Oryctolagus cuniculus: one gene and its partners. The protein of the gene in region 4 binds, or shares a complex with, the protein of the main gene of each other region. Links are inferred from orthologs where the notes say so. Each region holds a gene or a part of one and is shown on either strand. Other genes may lie near its edges.

The links.
Region 1: APOO (region 4) and MICOS13 share a complex: the UniProt entries of both Homo sapiens proteins name them as parts of the mitochondrial contact site and cristae organizing system (MICOS) complex. The link is inferred for Oryctolagus cuniculus from reciprocal best matches to the Homo sapiens genes APOO and MICOS13.
Region 2: APOO (region 4) and IMMT share a complex: the UniProt entries of both Homo sapiens proteins name them as parts of the mitochondrial contact site and cristae organizing system (MICOS) complex. The link is inferred for Oryctolagus cuniculus from reciprocal best matches to the Homo sapiens genes APOO and IMMT.
Region 3: APOO (region 4) and CHCHD3 share a complex: the UniProt entries of both Homo sapiens proteins name them as parts of the mitochondrial contact site and cristae organizing system (MICOS) complex. The link is inferred for Oryctolagus cuniculus from reciprocal best matches to the Homo sapiens genes APOO and CHCHD3.

The regions. Positions count from the first base shown.
Region 1 is NC_091447.1:60,302,252-60,306,243, forward strand, and holds MICOS13 (MICOS complex subunit MIC13), read right to left. Parts: upstream 2,607-3,992; 5' UTR 2,156-2,606; coding exon 2,127-2,155; intron 1,188-2,126; coding exon 1,010-1,187; intron 903-1,009; coding exon 851-902; intron 698-850; coding exon 597-697; 3' UTR 561-596; downstream 1-560. UniProt on the Homo sapiens protein: Component of the MICOS complex, a large protein complex of the mitochondrial inner membrane that plays crucial roles in the maintenance of crista junctions, inner membrane architecture, and formation of contact sites to the outer membrane.
Region 2 is NC_091433.1:116,590,266-116,593,825, reverse strand, and holds part of IMMT (MICOS complex subunit MIC60), read right to left. Parts: intron 884-3,560; coding exon 780-883; intron 1-779. UniProt on the Homo sapiens protein: Component of the MICOS complex, a large protein complex of the mitochondrial inner membrane that plays crucial roles in the maintenance of crista junctions, inner membrane architecture, and formation of contact sites to the outer membrane.
Region 3 is NC_091434.1:168,944,123-168,948,243, forward strand, and holds the start of CHCHD3 (MICOS complex subunit MIC19), read right to left. Parts: upstream 2,859-4,121; 5' UTR 2,688-2,858; coding exon 2,607-2,687; intron 1-2,606. UniProt on the Homo sapiens protein: Component of the MICOS complex, a large protein complex of the mitochondrial inner membrane that plays crucial roles in the maintenance of crista junctions, inner membrane architecture, and formation of contact sites to the outer membrane.
Region 4 is NC_091453.1:10,138,544-10,142,710, reverse strand, and holds the start of APOO (MICOS complex subunit MIC26), read left to right. Parts: upstream 1-1,325; 5' UTR 1,326-1,577; coding exon 1,578-1,586; intron 1,587-1,649; exon of another isoform or gene 1,650-1,984; intron 1,985-4,167. UniProt on the Homo sapiens protein: Component of the MICOS complex, a large protein complex of the mitochondrial inner membrane that plays crucial roles in the maintenance of crista junctions, inner membrane architecture, and formation of contact sites to the outer membrane.

The DNA of each region.
Region 1 (3,992 bases), on a different chromosome or scaffold from region 4:
CTGGCCCCCGGGGGTGTGTCCCAGGATTCCCCGGGGCTCACCCACCACATCCTGCGGTGAGGGGTCACTCGGGGTAAATCGCCGGGGGCTGCGCCAGGCCCGCAGGCAGGTGCAGTGACCACGACCCCCCAGGGGCAGCCGCGGTGCCCCCCAGCGCCGGCTCAGCCCCCCGAGCTCACGGCCGCCAGCGGTCCCGGCCACGTGGCCACTCGGCCGCCCTGCCTAGCGCCTAGTGCGGGCCTCTGGGCCCACCCCTCCCCTGTCCCCATGGAGGGGCTGATGGCCTCGGGTGCAGCCCCTCCCCCCGCAGCCGCCAGCTGCCACACCCCACGAGAGACCTCCATGGTCACAGAGCTGCGTGGCGAGGGGTGCTGCGGACCCCCAGGGCCGCCAGAAGGGACACTGCCCGCCCTGGTAGGGCAGGAGGGCCTTGGCACGCCCCCCGCCTCCGAGAGCCGAGCCCACCCTGGCCCCACCCACCGGCGCAGGGCCGGCCCCAGGCGGGCTCCCAGCCCCCCCCCCCCCCCCCCGCGGCGCCCGGGCCAGCAGCGGGTCAGGGGCAAGTGCAGAGGCCTTTATTGGGCCGGCCGGGCCGCTCACTGCTTGGTGCGCTCCCGCACGTACGCCCAGCCTTCCCTGGAGTACTCGCGGGCCTTGGCCGGGGCCGCAGACAGAGCCGCCATCACCGTGAGGATGCCTGCGGGGGAGGCGGGGCCGGGCACCGGGCTTTGGAGACCAGCGGGGAAACTGAGGCACGGCCCAGCCGCCCCTCCCCCCCTCGCCTCGAGATCCACGGGAGACACACAGCGCAGGAAGAGGGGTGGTCCCCAGGGGCGGGGCGCGCACCTACCTTTATCCCAGGTCTCTCGGATGGGGAAGCTGATCTTGGGAGGAGCCGGGAGCTGCGGGGAGGGGGAGGGGCACGGGCCGGTGAGCGGGGTCGGGGTGGGGGGGAGGGCGCCCCAGCCCCGCGCACGGCCTGAGCCGGAGAGGGCGCGCGGCCGAGTACCTGGGGCACCTGCAGGCCCGTCTGCTGGCACACGTACTGGCTGAGCTGGTACACGGCCGGCGGCACCACCTCCTCGGCCTTGCGCAGCGCCGCCTCGCCCCTGTCGCTGGGCCCCAGCAGGTCCTGGTCATACACCAGGTAGACGGCGCCCCCGGCCACGCTGCCCTTCAGGAGGAACCTGCGGCGCGGGAGGTGGGCGCTCAGGGAGGGCACAGGGCAGGGGCAGCGCGCACCCTGGCCTCCCGGGGGACGCCAATGCGGGACTCCCCGCGCCGGCCCCACGGCACAGGGCAGGGGCAGCGCGCACCCTGGCCTCCCGGGGGGCGCCAATGCGGGGCTCCCCGCGCCGGCCGACGGCACAGGGCAGGGGCAGTGCACACCCTGGCCTCCCGGGACGCCAATGCGGGACTCCCCGACCCCGACCCCACGGCACAGGGCAGGGGCAGCGCGCACCCTGGCCTCCCGGGGGGCGCCAATGCGGGACTCCCCGCGCCGGCCCCACGGCACAGGGCAGGGGCAGCGGGCACCCTGGTCTCCCGGGGGACGCCAATGCGGGACTCCCCGCGCCGGCCCCACGGCACAGGGCAGGGGCAGCGCGCACCCTGGCCTCCCGGAGGGCGCCAATGCGGGACTCCCCGCGCCGGCCCCACGGCACAGGGCAGGGGCAGCGGGCACCCTGGTCTCCCGGGGGACGCCAATGCGGGACTCCCTGCCCCCGAACCCACGGCACAGGGCAGGGGCAGTGGGCACCCTGGCCTCCCGGGGGACGCCAATGCGGGACTCCCCGCGCCGGCCCCACGGCACAGGGCAGGGGCAGCGGGCACCCTGGTCTCCCGGGGGACGCCAATGCGGGACTCCCCGCGCCGGCCCCACGGTACAGGGCAGGGGCAGTGGGCACCCTGGCCTCCCGGGGGACCCCAATGCGGGACTCCCCGCCCCGGCCTCACGGCACACAGGCGGCGGGAAGGGGCGACCGCGACCCCCGGTGGCTTCCGACCAGTCTGCGCTCCTATCTGAGCGGGGAGCAGACCACCGCGAGCCAACCGGACAGGCGGGGTGGGGGTCCTGACGGGGACTCTCTCGGGGGTTCGGGACCCCGCCCGGCCGCCCCACGAACCTCATCAGCGACCACACTCGGGCCACCATGGTCGCTCGGCTCCGCGCAAGGACACCACACTGCCCGCCGCTTCCGCTCGCGGTGCGCAGAGGACGCCGGGACCTGTAGTCTTTCCTGTCAGCCGCAAAGGCCTCCGGGAGTCGAAGTCCCGCTAAAGCCTCTGAGACTCGGGAGAAGGACTAGCGAGGGTCCTACGGGCAGAGAGGCTTCTGGGAAATGTAAGCTGTGTGGGCGACCCGGGAGCCGCAAGGCCGTCTGGGAAGTGTAGTCAGTACCGCCCCGTGAACTCGCTGGGCCGCGAAGCCTCCTGGGAAATGTAGTTTGGTCCTACCCCGGCGTCCGTGCGTGGAAAGAGACGTAGGGGGTCTGGAGTGAAGCCTAAGGGTGACCAAGAAGGGGTCAGAGGCGAAGTCAGCCGCGCCCGCGCGGGAGACAAAAGCCTTCGACCTAGGGAGCCCGCGCCGAGAAGGTGGTTGTCCCGGCAACGCCAGGGCGGGATTGTGGGCGAGAGGCGGGCCCTCGGTCACGTGATCGCGCGCCGTTCGGAACTTCCGCCCCGGGGGCGGGGCCACGGCGCGGGTGGCCGGGAGTTGGGCGGGCGGAGGCCGTTGCCAGGCAACGGGGGGCGCGGAGTCCTGGCGGCCCGGCCCCTCCCCCCGAGGAGGTGGGTTTGGCGTCACGTGACTCGGGCCCTACGGGAGGGGGCGCGGTCGGGGGCCCGGCCGCACTGGGCTGGGAAGGGAGACCCTCAGGGCGTTGGCGTGACTCCCAGGCCAGGACCCCAGCCTCGCCGGACACTGGGGCAAACAGGCCCGAGTGGGTGAGTGCGCAGCTGGGGGCGCGCGGTGGGTCCCCATTGTCCAGGGGGAAAGCTCCGGCCCCCCACTCCTCCCTCATCCCCGCTGGCCACTGTCGGTCCGCCCATCTCTGTCCATCTCACATCGTCCACTCTGCCTGGCTGCTGCGGGCGGGGCGGGGGCTGGGAAGAGGCCCCTGCCGAGGGGCTTCGTGCGCTGACCTGGGCCTGGGAAGGGGTCGGCCTGACCGGAAGCTGCCACTGAGAGCGGACAGGTGCAGCGACAGGTGGGCGGGGCCAGGCCATTGGCGCCCCCGCCCCAGGTCCAGCAGGAGGCGGGGTCCGGAGTCTGCGCGGGAGAAGAGGGTCGGGGGTTCCTGTAGGGGCGTTGCTGAGACCCGGAGGCCGTGCGTGGTGGGCGACAGCGTGGGAGGAGGCGAGGCCAGCACCTGGGCCCCCGCACCGTGTACTTGGGGCACGCTGGGGCCTGGGAGAGGCGGGTTGGGGTCAGCCGCTGAGCGGGGTCTCAGGACTCGGGCCTGGATCTGGAGATTGGAGACTTGAGGGATCCCCCCCATCTGCCCTGCGCCCCCTGGGCCGCCTCTGCCTTGGGCATCTTTGAGCTCCTGTCTGCCCGTGGCTTCTTTAGACAGACCCCGACCCACCCAGGCGTGATGGGCCGGTGCCTGCGCAGGACAGACTCCCCTATGAACCTGGGCTGTTTCTCCCTTTCTTTTTTCACAAGGGGTGTGTGTGTTATTTAATTTATTTATACAATGCATTTGAAAGCTTGAAGGACAGGGCGGGGTGCGGAGCTGGGAAGAGGTTGCTCTCAGCCCCTGGCTCACTCCCCAGACGGCCCCACCATAAAGGCTGGGCCAGGCAGAAGGAGCCCACTCCGGGGGCTCCCAGGCGGGTGGGTGGCTCCGAGGGTGTGTGTTAGCAGGGGGCTGGAATGGAGAGCAGACCAGGGGGCGGAGGCCGGGCTGCACCTGCCCCGGATGAAGTCAGGATTTCTCGCGGGGTTGGGGGGAAGACCAGGTGATCTTGCCGGGCAGCGGCAGGTGTGG
Region 2 (3,560 bases), on a different chromosome or scaffold from region 4:
GGCAGGGATTAGGCTGATGTCCCTGTCAATCACAAAGAACTGAAGGAACGCAAAGGCCAGGGAGATGGCCAGAGACCTACCTCACTGAGCAAATACGTCAATTTAGAATGACAATTTAGAATGCTTCAAAGGTCAGACTGTGGCCCAGCCACCACAAAACACAGAACTCAGAGCCCTGATACACTGTCTAGTGATGTGGGCATAATCTAAAAGGCGTGTGCTTCATTAGAAGGCTCTATCAAAAATAAATAAAACAGCAAAATTTTAAATAAAAAATAACTACTACACACTGTTGATGAGAACCTTTAGTCCAAATGCAGCCCTCCATCATCAGAGGTTGGTCTTATACTTGGGTTTTTCACTTGATCCTAGTTTCAGTTAACTTCTAGGAATCAAGGTTAAAGTGGCAAAAGACAATATATAGTCAATTCTTAGGTAATTAGGGCAAAGAGATCATGACATATTTTCCAAATTCTGACAGAACTGTTTAAACCAGCCCAGCAAAACAGAAATTATGAAACTCTCAGGAATCTCACCACCTCAACAATAATCCAAAGCAAAACTGACGTTTATATAAGATCATTTATGTAAGTTTCTGTCAAATTTATTTTCACCTCATTGTTTTCCTGTTTCCTGGTACCAGTTCAGAAGCAGCACAGGTGCAGGAGGAAAGGGTCTCTGCCTCCTCTTACAGTATCTTCCCCAGATAATCCAAGGAAAACCCAGCCCAGAGAGCCACCAGAGGCCCTAATTACTTGTTAAAGTCCATGAGTAATTACTTGGCTTTGAGAAGGGCATCAGCAGCTTCATCTACTGCCTTTCTGCGTTCCTTCAATGCTCCCTCCACTGTACGCCACTGGGCAGACTTCTTCTCACCTGCAATCTAAACACAAAATGCGAATTAAGTAAACGTGAACAACTGCTAATACTGTCATCAGATAGGCCAACAAGATTAAGCACAAAATACAAGACATTAAATTCAAAAGAGAAAACTTAGATAGTATCTCTCCAGAATAGGAACTCAATCTAGCAGTCACAGGCACAAAGATGTTCATGAATCACTTCCCATCAACTGTCCTTCCACAAAATCCTAAATAAGAAAAAAAAGGGGGAGGGAGGTTAGGAGGAAGGGGCTCTGGTGTAGTGGGTTAAGTTGCTGTCTGCGACGCCATATTCAATATGGGCACTGGTTTGGTTCCTGGCCGCTCCACTTCCAATCAGCTTCCCGCTAATGTGCCTGGGAAAGCAGAGGAAGATGGCTGGAGTCCTGGGGTCCCCGCCACCCACGTGGAAGACTAAGAGGACACTCCCGGTTTCAGCCTGGGCCAGTTGACCATTTGGAGGGGTGCACCAGCAGATGAAAGATCTCTCTCTTTCTCTATGTCTCCTTCTCTCTAACTCTGCCTCTCAAATAAAAAAATTAGTGTTCCAGTCAACTATTTTCCAAGGAGTTTTATTAGATTCTCAAAAGAAAATATCAACCAGACAAGGTTTATAATAATAGAGGGGGCTGGCACTATGGCGTAGTGGGTAAAGCCACCCCCTACAGCATGCCAGCATCCCAAATGGGCACCGGTTCGAATCTCCGCTTGTCCAACTTCAATCCAGCTCTCTGCTATGGCCTGGGAAAGCAGTAGAAGACTTGGGCCCTTGCACCTACGTAGGAGATCCAGAAGAAGCTCCTGGATCCTGGCTTTGGATCCACACAGCTCTGGCTGCTGCAGCTATCTGGGGAGTGAACCAGGGGATGGAAGACACCTCTCTCTCTCTCTGCCTTTCTATATCTCTGCTGTTCAACTAAATAAATAAATCTTTAAAAAAATAATAGCTTTAAGTGAATCACCTGTTGATTAAGTCATTCTCTGATGTAGTGTTGCTGCCTAAAATTTTCTGAATTGCAGGTCTGGCTACCAAAACTTCAGTTTAAGGACAAGTACAAAGCATACATGTTTAAAAAGAGCACTTACTTGGGGCTGGCACTGTGGCGTAGCAGGTAAAGCTGTCAACTGCAGTGCCAGCATCCCATATGGGCACCGGTTTAAGTCCTGGCTACTCCAGGATGAGATGGCAGACAAGTCACAACACCTTGTCCTCTCCTCATTTTGCACCATATAAACATTGATCAGAATATTGGGAATTGTCTAAACTATTTAAAATTATTTTAAATGAACTATTGAAAATTATCTTTCGTCTCCTTTTTCTTTTTCCAAGTGCATATAAACTGGATATATTACATGTGGGTATGAAGCAAAATTACCTTATGGACCCTGGAGATGAACAGGTATATACTAAATCACCAAAGAATAATTGACTTAGAAAAAAATAACTGAATTGTTTCAATACCCGAGTTTGAAATCACCCCAACAGGACGACCACAGGAGTTGCTGCACATCTCCTCGAGCACTGCAGCTCTGTGCAAGTCTGCTGTGGTGGAACCAGGAAAGAAGGCACATGCAGATTTCTACAGAAATGCTGATTCCATGAAAAGTTTTGAGGAGATGAAGAACGCTGGTTTCTTCCAGAATACAAAGTGATATGGGATGTAAAGAATGTCTTTAGGTTGAATTCTATAGTAGTGTGCCACTGTACCAGGCCAATGCCAGGAGTCCAGAGCTTCTTCCAGGTCTTCCATGTGGGTGTAGGGGCCCAAGCACTTGGGTCTGCTTCCACTGTTCCCCAGGTGCATCAGTTGGGAGCTGGATCAGAAGTAGAGCAGGGGCCAGCGCTATGGCATAGTAGCTGAAGTTGTCGCTGGCAGTGCCAGCATCCCATATGTTCGAGACCCCCCTGTTCCACTTCTGATCCAGCTCTCTGCTATGGTCTGGGAAAGCAGTGGAAGATGGCCCAAGTGCTTGGGGCCCTGCAACTGCATGGGAGACCCGAAGGAAGCTTCTGGCTCCTGGTTTTGTATCAGCACAGTTCCAGCCATTGCGGCCATCTAGGTAGTGAGCCAGCAGATGGAAGACCTCTCTCTCTCTCTGCCTCTCTGTAACTCTGTCTTCAAATAAATAAATAAATCTTATTAAAAAAAAAAAAAAAAAAAAAAAAAAGAAGAAGAAGAAGAAGAAGAAGTGGAGCAGCCAGGACTCAAACCAGTACCTGTAGGCCAAATGCAATGCCAGCATTACTGGTGGCAGCGTAACCTGTTTGCCACAACACGGGCCCCTGTTTTACTCTTTAAATTACTTTGTATAGAGATACATATCCTGAACTACTGAATTTAATGTAAAGAAATGTATTGATCCCCAGTATTATGCTTAGAAGTGAATATTATTTTATTCTTTGAAGCACTCAATGTAAGTTAATAAGCATAAGCACTCAAATAGCTAGTGTTTTGGAGTACATAGCTTCTCTATTACTTCTTATGTCAATCTAGAAGTATCTCAAAATACAAAGTTTTCTATGTAAAGAAATGGCTTTAGATTTTAGGGCAAAAAATAAGGAAGCAACAATTACATTCAAACATTATTAAGGTACAAAGACAAATCTGAATTCTTGTAAAATACATCAGCGTGGTGAGATAAAGCATTTATATATAGAATTCATTTACAAAGACATTT
Region 3 (4,121 bases), on a different chromosome or scaffold from region 4:
GCAGGCGACAGCCAGAAGCCAGCAACTCACTTCCCAGTCCACTCGTGCGTACATGTCTTACCTAAGTTTGCATGAGTTAATGTAGCCATTCCCTCAACGGTTCTCCTGACAGCCACAAGGCACTGTCAGATGCTCACATACATGACGTCAAATCCTCAGACAAGTGCCAAAATCTAGATTTACAATCAAAAGTGCCTTGTCCAGAGCCACCCAGCTTCTGAGAGGCGGAGCTAGGATCCAAGCTCAAGTCTGCTTTCCTTCACGGTATTCTCTTTCCACTATAATACAGAATCCCTGTGAAATGATGGCTGCCTTTTTGTATTTTTTGTTTTGTTTTGTTTTTTGGACAGGCAGATTTAGACAGTGTGAGAGGGAGAGACAGAGAGAAAGGTCTTCCTTTCCGTTGGTTCGCCGCCCCAAATGGCTGCTATGGCCTGCCCATCCGAAGCCAGGAGCCAGGTGCTTCTCCTGGTCTCCCATGGGGTGCAGGACCCAAGCACTTGGGCCATCCTCCACTGCACTCCTGGGCCACAGCAGAGAGCTGGACTGGAAGAGGGGCAACCAGGACAGAATCTGGCGCCCCGAACGGGACTAGAACCCAGGGTGCTGGGGCCACAGGCAGGGGATTAGCCCAGTGAGCTTCAGTGCTGGCCGATGGCAGCCTTTAATAAAACCTACAGAGGGCCAGAAGCAAAGAACGTACCTCATCTTTCCAGCACAAGACAGAAGCAACCGTGTTCCCCTTTATGGACAGCAAATATGATCAGACACGTGCCTTGTCCAAGGTCACGGGCTAATAAATAGCTGACCCAAGATTTAAACTGAGGGCTGTTTAACTGTACGTTGGCACCCTTCTGACAATAACTTCAAAGCAATCAGAGTGACCTCTCAGTACTCAATGATTCCACCGCGTGTCATTTCCAGAGGAAACTGCACGGCGCTGAGGAAGGCCACAGGACACAGACAGTGGCACGAGGGTCACAGAATTTCAGACGACCAGAGATCTGAGATCCTGCCCCATCCTCTTACAGATAAGGAAACCGAAGTGCAGAGACCGCCAACCCGCCCTGCAGCAGAAGCACTTGACGCCACAGCAAACAGTGTAAGGGCATCTAGGTGAAGGGCGTGCTATGAAAAAAACACAGAGAGGTTGCAAGGAGCATGGCGTGAGCTCGAATTGAAGGAGCAAACATAAGACGTAATATCGGAGAAGGAAAAAGAAAAAACTGAAGAATGCACTCGTCAAGTTTTCTATCCAAGAAAGATACTTCTTCAAGTTCTGAAACGCAGATTTTTAGAGCACCTTTCCATTTCAGGAGAACACACATCCCCACTGCCACCTTCCTCCATCTTCATACTCGCTAGGCATCTCTGAGCTGTGGCCAGACTCGCCGCCAGTTCTGTCTGCTGTCCCCCTGTGTCTGTGTTAGAGTGACACACATTTTCCTAACTAAAATCTTCTCACCTAAAACTTATCTTGTGCTGCCTTTCCTCTTTCACCCTCAGAGGTGGAACACCCACAGCCTAAAGGCAAGATTTTTTTTTTAAATCTCTGCATAAAACTCAGAGTTTCCAGTCCTTTTTATTGTACTCCAAGGAGGAGCAACTAAACCACCAAGAACACAAGAATGCAGCCTCAGATGCTATATCGCAAAATGCAGCACTGTTGTTAATGAATCAAGAAACCTTGGTCACAGACCAAAAAGAGTTCAACACTGTGCGTATTTAGTAAGTTTTATTTCCCGGTAACACAACAGTAAATACATTCATTGAGACTGGTTGTGTGACAGGACAGCAGGGGAGGGAAAATACAAAGTATCTTAAGACACCCTGAAGTCCACATGGCTTTATTTCCCGGATGCAGGCTGGTCCTTGCAGCGGAGAGCGTGTTAAGTGAAGTGAGTGCTGGTGTGCTGACTCCCTGGAGCAAAGTCAAGTTTGAGTTCAGGCGCCAAGTACGTGGAGAGGGCGTAAGAGAACTCGCTATCACCTCTCAGAGCTCTGAAACCTCGCAGGCCTATCCCAGCCCGGGCCCGGCCGGCAGGCACCAGTCCCGGGAGCCACAGGTCACAGAGGCAGCGCCCGGGAAAGCGCAGAGACCGAGAGAACGGGAAGCGGCGGGGGCGGCGGAGGCGCGAGCCAGGGCAAGGGGTGGCCCCGGTGGGAGCGCGCTCAAGGAAGGACTGGAAGCCGAGGCAGGCGAGCCGGCGGCGGCAGCGCACCCGGGGAGGGAGCCTGTGCCCGCGGGAAAGCGGGCTGCGGGCCCCGAGCCAAGGGGAGTGACACCGGACCCGCTGCACAGACGGGGCCAGGGCGGCGAGGGGCAGCGAGGAAGCCCCCGAGACCGCCGAGCAGGGCAAGGCCAGCGGAGGGTCTCGGGGCACCCGGCGCGCCGCGGCCGCCCCGCACTGCACCCCTCACCCGGCCCAGGGCCTCTGCACGAACGCCCGGAGAAGTCAAACTCCCGCATCCTCCCCAAGGCCGGCTTCGGGCCGGTGAGGTGCAGGGAAGGCCTGGCTGGGGGTCCGAGCAGCGGGCAGCAGAGCGGGTCCAGGAAACGCAGGGCAGGGGTCCGAGCCGTGGGCCGCCCGCCCGCCGGAACTCACCCGGATGCCCTTCACCACGGTGATGTTCTCATTCTCGTCCGCCTCGAAGGTGACCCGGCGGGTGCTGGCGGTCCCGCCCATGGCTCCTGACCCCGCTCCTGCACGGATCCAGCACGGACCACGAGCGCTTCACAACTCCGCGCACACGCGCGCCAACGTGCCGGGACCCTTCCCGGGCTGCACGGGAGCAAGGCCACGACCCCAAGGAGCAAGGAGAAGGCGCCGGTCTGAGTTCCCGCCTCCTCCGGTCACGTGCCGAAACAGCTACACCTCCGATTGGTCAGAGCCGCGAAGGGCCCGCCTCCACTCGGCGGAGGGTGCTGGAATTGGCTGGCCTGGACCCGGATGCTATGGCAACAGGTGCTGTTTGACAAGTTTCCGGAGCTCCCGGGTGAAGTGGGAATTGTAGTCCCTATCGGGCACGAGGGGTGGTGGGACTCTCTTGCCTCGTCCCGGAGGACGCAAGGCATGCTGGGAGTTGTAGTCTTTCCCTCCAGAAGGGGTTGCTCTCTGGGCAGCTTGGAAGAAGTGCAATCATCGCTCAAGCATGCTTTGAAGACGTTATCCTGAAAACTCAGCAGAGTGAGGTCAAAGACGCAAGCTCGTTCTTAACGGATCTCAGGTTCATGGGGGAGATGCACAGCTTCCTGTAAATACAAATCCCTGAAGTAGAAGTTAGCAGCTCATTATTTTAGTCTGAGTCATTAAAAAAAATGCATTTTCCTGTATCCCCATTTCATAAACTATGTAGATGTTTGATTTCTTCTTGTAAAGTGAAAACTTAAATGCTGTCGTTATAAAATCTACAAATGAGAAAACACGAAAAGTACATTATACTCCGTATACGGAATTCGGTTTCCAAGTTTGTGTCTCCTTCCACTTCTGTTATATACCTTGGACCATAACACAGTTACGAAGAGAAGAATAGTATAAGTTAGTGGGACTATGGAAACCACAGCAGGCAAAGTTGAGAGAATCCATCTTGGAAAGTTTCTGGTTCACTAGAGTATTTCATTTCTACAAGACCAGTAAACAATTTTCAAGTTCCACCTACATCCTTACAATTTTTTTGCTTAACACTTTGCTCCACATTAGCCATACGACCCTAGTTCTTTTTTTAAGATTTATTTATTTATTTATTTGAAAGGCAAGAATTACAAAGAGGTAGAGGGAGAGAGCGAGAGTGAGAACGAGAGAGAGAGAGAGAGAGAAATGTCTTCCATGTGCTAGTTCACTCCCCAGATGGCTGCAATGGCCAGGGCTCAGCCAGACCAAAGCCAGGAGCCAGGAGCTTCTTCCAGGTCTCCCATGTGGGTGCAGGGGCCCAAGGACTTGGGTCACCTTCTGCTGCTTTCCCAGGCCCATCAGCAGGGAGCTGTTTGGAAGTGGACCAGCCAGGACTCAAACTAGCACCTGGTGTGGCACAGTGCTGGCCCCATGACCCTTGTCCTTACAAAAGTAATGAAAATATGCACTACCTTCAGGTGGCCGCTTTCAACATTATCAACAGCAGGC
Region 4 (4,167 bases):
ACCCGCAAACCATCCCAGCTCCTACTCCCTCTCCCATCCCCTTCTTCATTAAGATTCATTTTTAATTATCTTTATATACAGATCAACTTAGTATATACTAGGTAAAGATTTCAACAGATTGCACCCACACAGACATACAAAGTGTAAAGTACTGTTTGAGTAGTAGTTTTACTGTTAATTCTCATAGTACAACACATTAAGGACAGAGCTCCTACATGGGGAGTAAGTGCACAGTGACTCCTGTTGTTGATTCAACAATTGACTCTCTTGTTTATGGCATCAGTAATCACCTGAGGGTTTTGTCACTGGCCTTATTTATGTGATCCCTTTGACACTTAATCCTATATGATCAATTATGAATTTAAACTGATCACTTTAACTAGTAAGATGGCATTGGTACACGTCACCTTGATGGGATTTGGAGTCCCATGGCACGTTTCTAGCTCTACCATTAGGGATAAGTCCGAGTGAGCATGTGCTGAACTGTACATCTCCTCCCTCTCTTATTCCCACTCTTATATTTAACAGGGATCACTTTTCAGTTAATTTTACACGCCTAAAGCAATTGTGTGTTAATTAAAGAGTCCAACCAATGGTATTAAATAGAAAAAGAAAATACTGCAAATAAAATAGTAATGCTTAAGTATTTTAAAGAGAGAAAAAAGCATCCTTGGCGACTAAACTTAAAGCCTGATAAATGTCTAGCTCCTGGTAAAGACCTAAAAAACAGGCAGCATTGTGACTGCCACGTGGGTGCTGGTTCCAGTCCTGAGGGCTCCATTTCCAATCTGGATCCCAGCTGGTGGCCTGGAAAAGCAGAAGATGGCCCAAGTGTTCGGGCCCCTGCACCTGCGTGGGAGACTCAGCTGAAGCCCCTGGCTCTGGCCTGGGCCATTTCTGGCCTTTGCGGCCATCTGGGTAGAGAACCAGCTGATGGAAGACCTCTCTCTCTCTCTCTCTCTCTCTCTCTCTCTCTCTCTCTCTATCTCTGTAACTCTTTCAAAATAAATAAGTAGATCTTAAAAAACAAAACAAACCCTAAAAACCTTTGAGAGGTAAATCCAGGGCTCCTATCGGCGGCTTCTGGCTGCGAGACTCTGGAAGAAGCTTGAGGCCCGCTGAGCGCCCCCAGCCGGAGGCCTCTGAGGACGGGACTCCCAGCCCACACCTCCGGGCGCCCAATCCTGGAGGCGAAGGCTGACTCCCAGCGCCCAGCGGCGCCCGGCGCCTCCCTCCTCGCGCCTCCCTCCCGGCGCTTCCTCGTGCCGCCCACACTGAGCCGGGGCTTTCTTGCCGCCTAGCAACCACCGGCGCAGGGGCGGAGCGTCACGGAGGGCGGGGCTTGCGTCCGCCCGCCGTCCGGGGCGCTACGCGCTGCCGCTCAGTGACGTCGCTTCCAGTCCAGGGTGGTTGAGCTAAACTTTCGCCTCATCGAGTTGACTATACGTTCGTCACCCGCGCCGCGGCACGCCTGCGGTTGGGTGAAACAAGGCCCTATCGGGCCTCCGTAGTCGGCTTTTTGTGGTAGGCGGGGCCGAGGCCGGGGTGACCCTGCCGGAACCGCCGCTGCCAGCAACATGTTCAAGGTGAGAGCATGGAGTCGGGTCACAGTTGTCATCGCCCCCTCCCGGCCACCGGGAGCCCTCCCCGCGCTCTCGTGGGCCTTTCCGGGGACCGGGCACGGTCCGCCCCAAGGCTTTTCCCGCCTGCAGGCAGGCTGCGTTCCGGCCCCGCGGTCCATTCACTGGTCATCTTGGGGCGAGTGGCTGCCGGGCGGAGGCGTGAGACTCGGGGGCGGGTCGCGACGGCCCTTTTGGGTCGTGCTTCCGTGAATAAAACACTTTGAAAAGTTACGACACTCTCCGCAAAGCACCCACCCCTTCGGCTGGTGCCTTCTCGGGATCGTGGGCAGGGTGAGGCTAGTTCCTGGCGACGTGGGGTTTGCTACTCTGGTTGCCGGGCAGCATCAGATTTCAAGAACCTGGTATGTGGGTGGGGGAGGGTCGCCCTCGGAGTGGCCGCTGCAGGAAGCGGGAGGCTAGTGTGGGAATGGCTGGCTGGGGAGGGAAGCTCCACATCCCAGTGACCATTATCCGTGTTTAAATGGACGTGTTGACTTTCTTAGGATCTATGTGCTTGTGGCCTTTAATAAAAGGACTTTTACAGACAATGAAGACTTTATTTCCAAAAATCCGTATTGTAGCATTAAGCCATTTTTTAAAAATTATTTTTGCAGTCACAAAAAACAAGTCATAGGCTATCAGAAATTAATCTACGAAACTGAGCGTTCAAGAGGCATCATACCCGTAAAGTAGTGCTAATGACATCTTAGAACTGTGCTGCTCGCTTAAGCTTTATTGAGCTCTTGTATGCTTTCAGCACATTAATAAAGACCATAAAATCAGAACATCGGTTCTGCCTGCTAGCCTTGGCCTTGGCCCGTCCTGCTGTGTGACCTTGGACAAGGCATTTAACCTCTCTGCCTGTTTTCCTGTTGGTGACAATCGGGATGATAGCATCTGCCTCATAGGTAGTCGTAGGAGGAAGTAGTTGTGCGTAAGACGCTTGAGAGAGGTCTTGGCATGTAGACATGCCTCTGGTTTGTTTTCGGCGAGCTCACGGTTTAGTCAGCAGGACGAATCCCATAAGCAACTTCCATTCATTTGACAAGTTGAGGTTAAACACCTATTATGTGCTAGCAGCTCAGCTTGGCTTTAGGCTTACGATGAAGCCTATGCTGTGACCAGTTCAGCTGCATGGGTACCAGCTATATACTGTGGTCGTAAAAAAGGGGAGCAGGATCTTTTTGGCTTAGCCAGGAGTTTCTAACCTGGGGTCCTCAGTCCTTCAAAGGGTCTGTATATAGGGGGGCCCCTGGATTCTGATGGGGGAAAAACTTATTTTCACCCCATCTTCAATGAAACCAAGTGTTTCCTTCAGTTGTGAATACCTATTACCTATTACTGGGTAACAAACCACTGCAAAGCAGTACCCTAAAACAATGATTTATTATTTCTCAGTCTGGGCTGGTTGAGCAGTTCTGGCATCTTCCAGGGGCTGAATTGAGCAGGGGGCTTGACTGGAAGGTACTCTCTCTCCCGTGTTTGGAGGCTTGGTGTCCCTCCCTTGTGTCTTCCTCATATGGTTACGGGCCAGTCCTAATGTACAAACACCTGCATCATTTGCTGATGTTAAAACAAGCTGCATAGCCAAGTTCAGAGTTGATACGGTAGTGGACTGTACAAGGGCATGGTTAAAAGCAGGTGTGGCTCATTGGGGGCTTATTAATTTAACAAGCCTTACAGCAGCAAACCACAATAGTATTAGTGCCTGTTACTAACAGAGGTCACAGTACTCAGGCCCGCATTTTGGCGCAGTGGGTTAAGTTGCTACCTGTGACACCAGCAAGTGCTGGCTCGAGTCCAAGCTGCTCCACTTCTGAACCAGCTCTCTGCTAATGTGTTGTGGCCTGGCTCAGCTCAGGCTGTTGAAGCCATATGGGGAGTGAACCAGCAGATAAGACAGTCTGTCTCTGTTTCTCTTAAACTCTGCCTTTGAAGTAAATATTTTTTAAAAAGTCACAATACCAGTGCAAGTCAGAGACATTTTTATATCATATTACTGTTGTTGCAGATCTCAAAATATCATTTATGCTCATCACTACAAAATTAGAGTGCTTGTAAGATTCACTGTTAACATCTTTTTAATGAGTTAGTGAAGTACATATTACTACATCAAAAAAATTTTTTTAGAGATATATTTACTTCGTTGAAAGAGTTACAGAGAGAAGGAGAGAGAGAGAGAGAGAGAGAGAGAGATCGATCTTCCATCTGCTAGTTCACTCCCTAAGTGGCTGCAGTGGCCAGTGTGGAGCCTGGCCGAAGCCAGGAGCTTTATCTCGGTCTCCCGTGTGGGTGCACAGGCCCAAGCATTTGGGGCATCTGCAGCTTTCCAAGGTCATTAGCAGGGAGCTGGATCAGAAGTGGAGCAGCCGGTACACAAACCAGTGCCCAAAGGGGATGCCGGTGTTGCATGTGGTGGGTTTAGCTGCTGTGCCACAATGCTGGCCTTGTACACCAGAAATTCGAATTTTGAAAATATGTTTATTTGTAAAGGGGAGGCAGAGAATGAATGTGAGAATATCTTTCATCTGCTGGTTCATCCCTC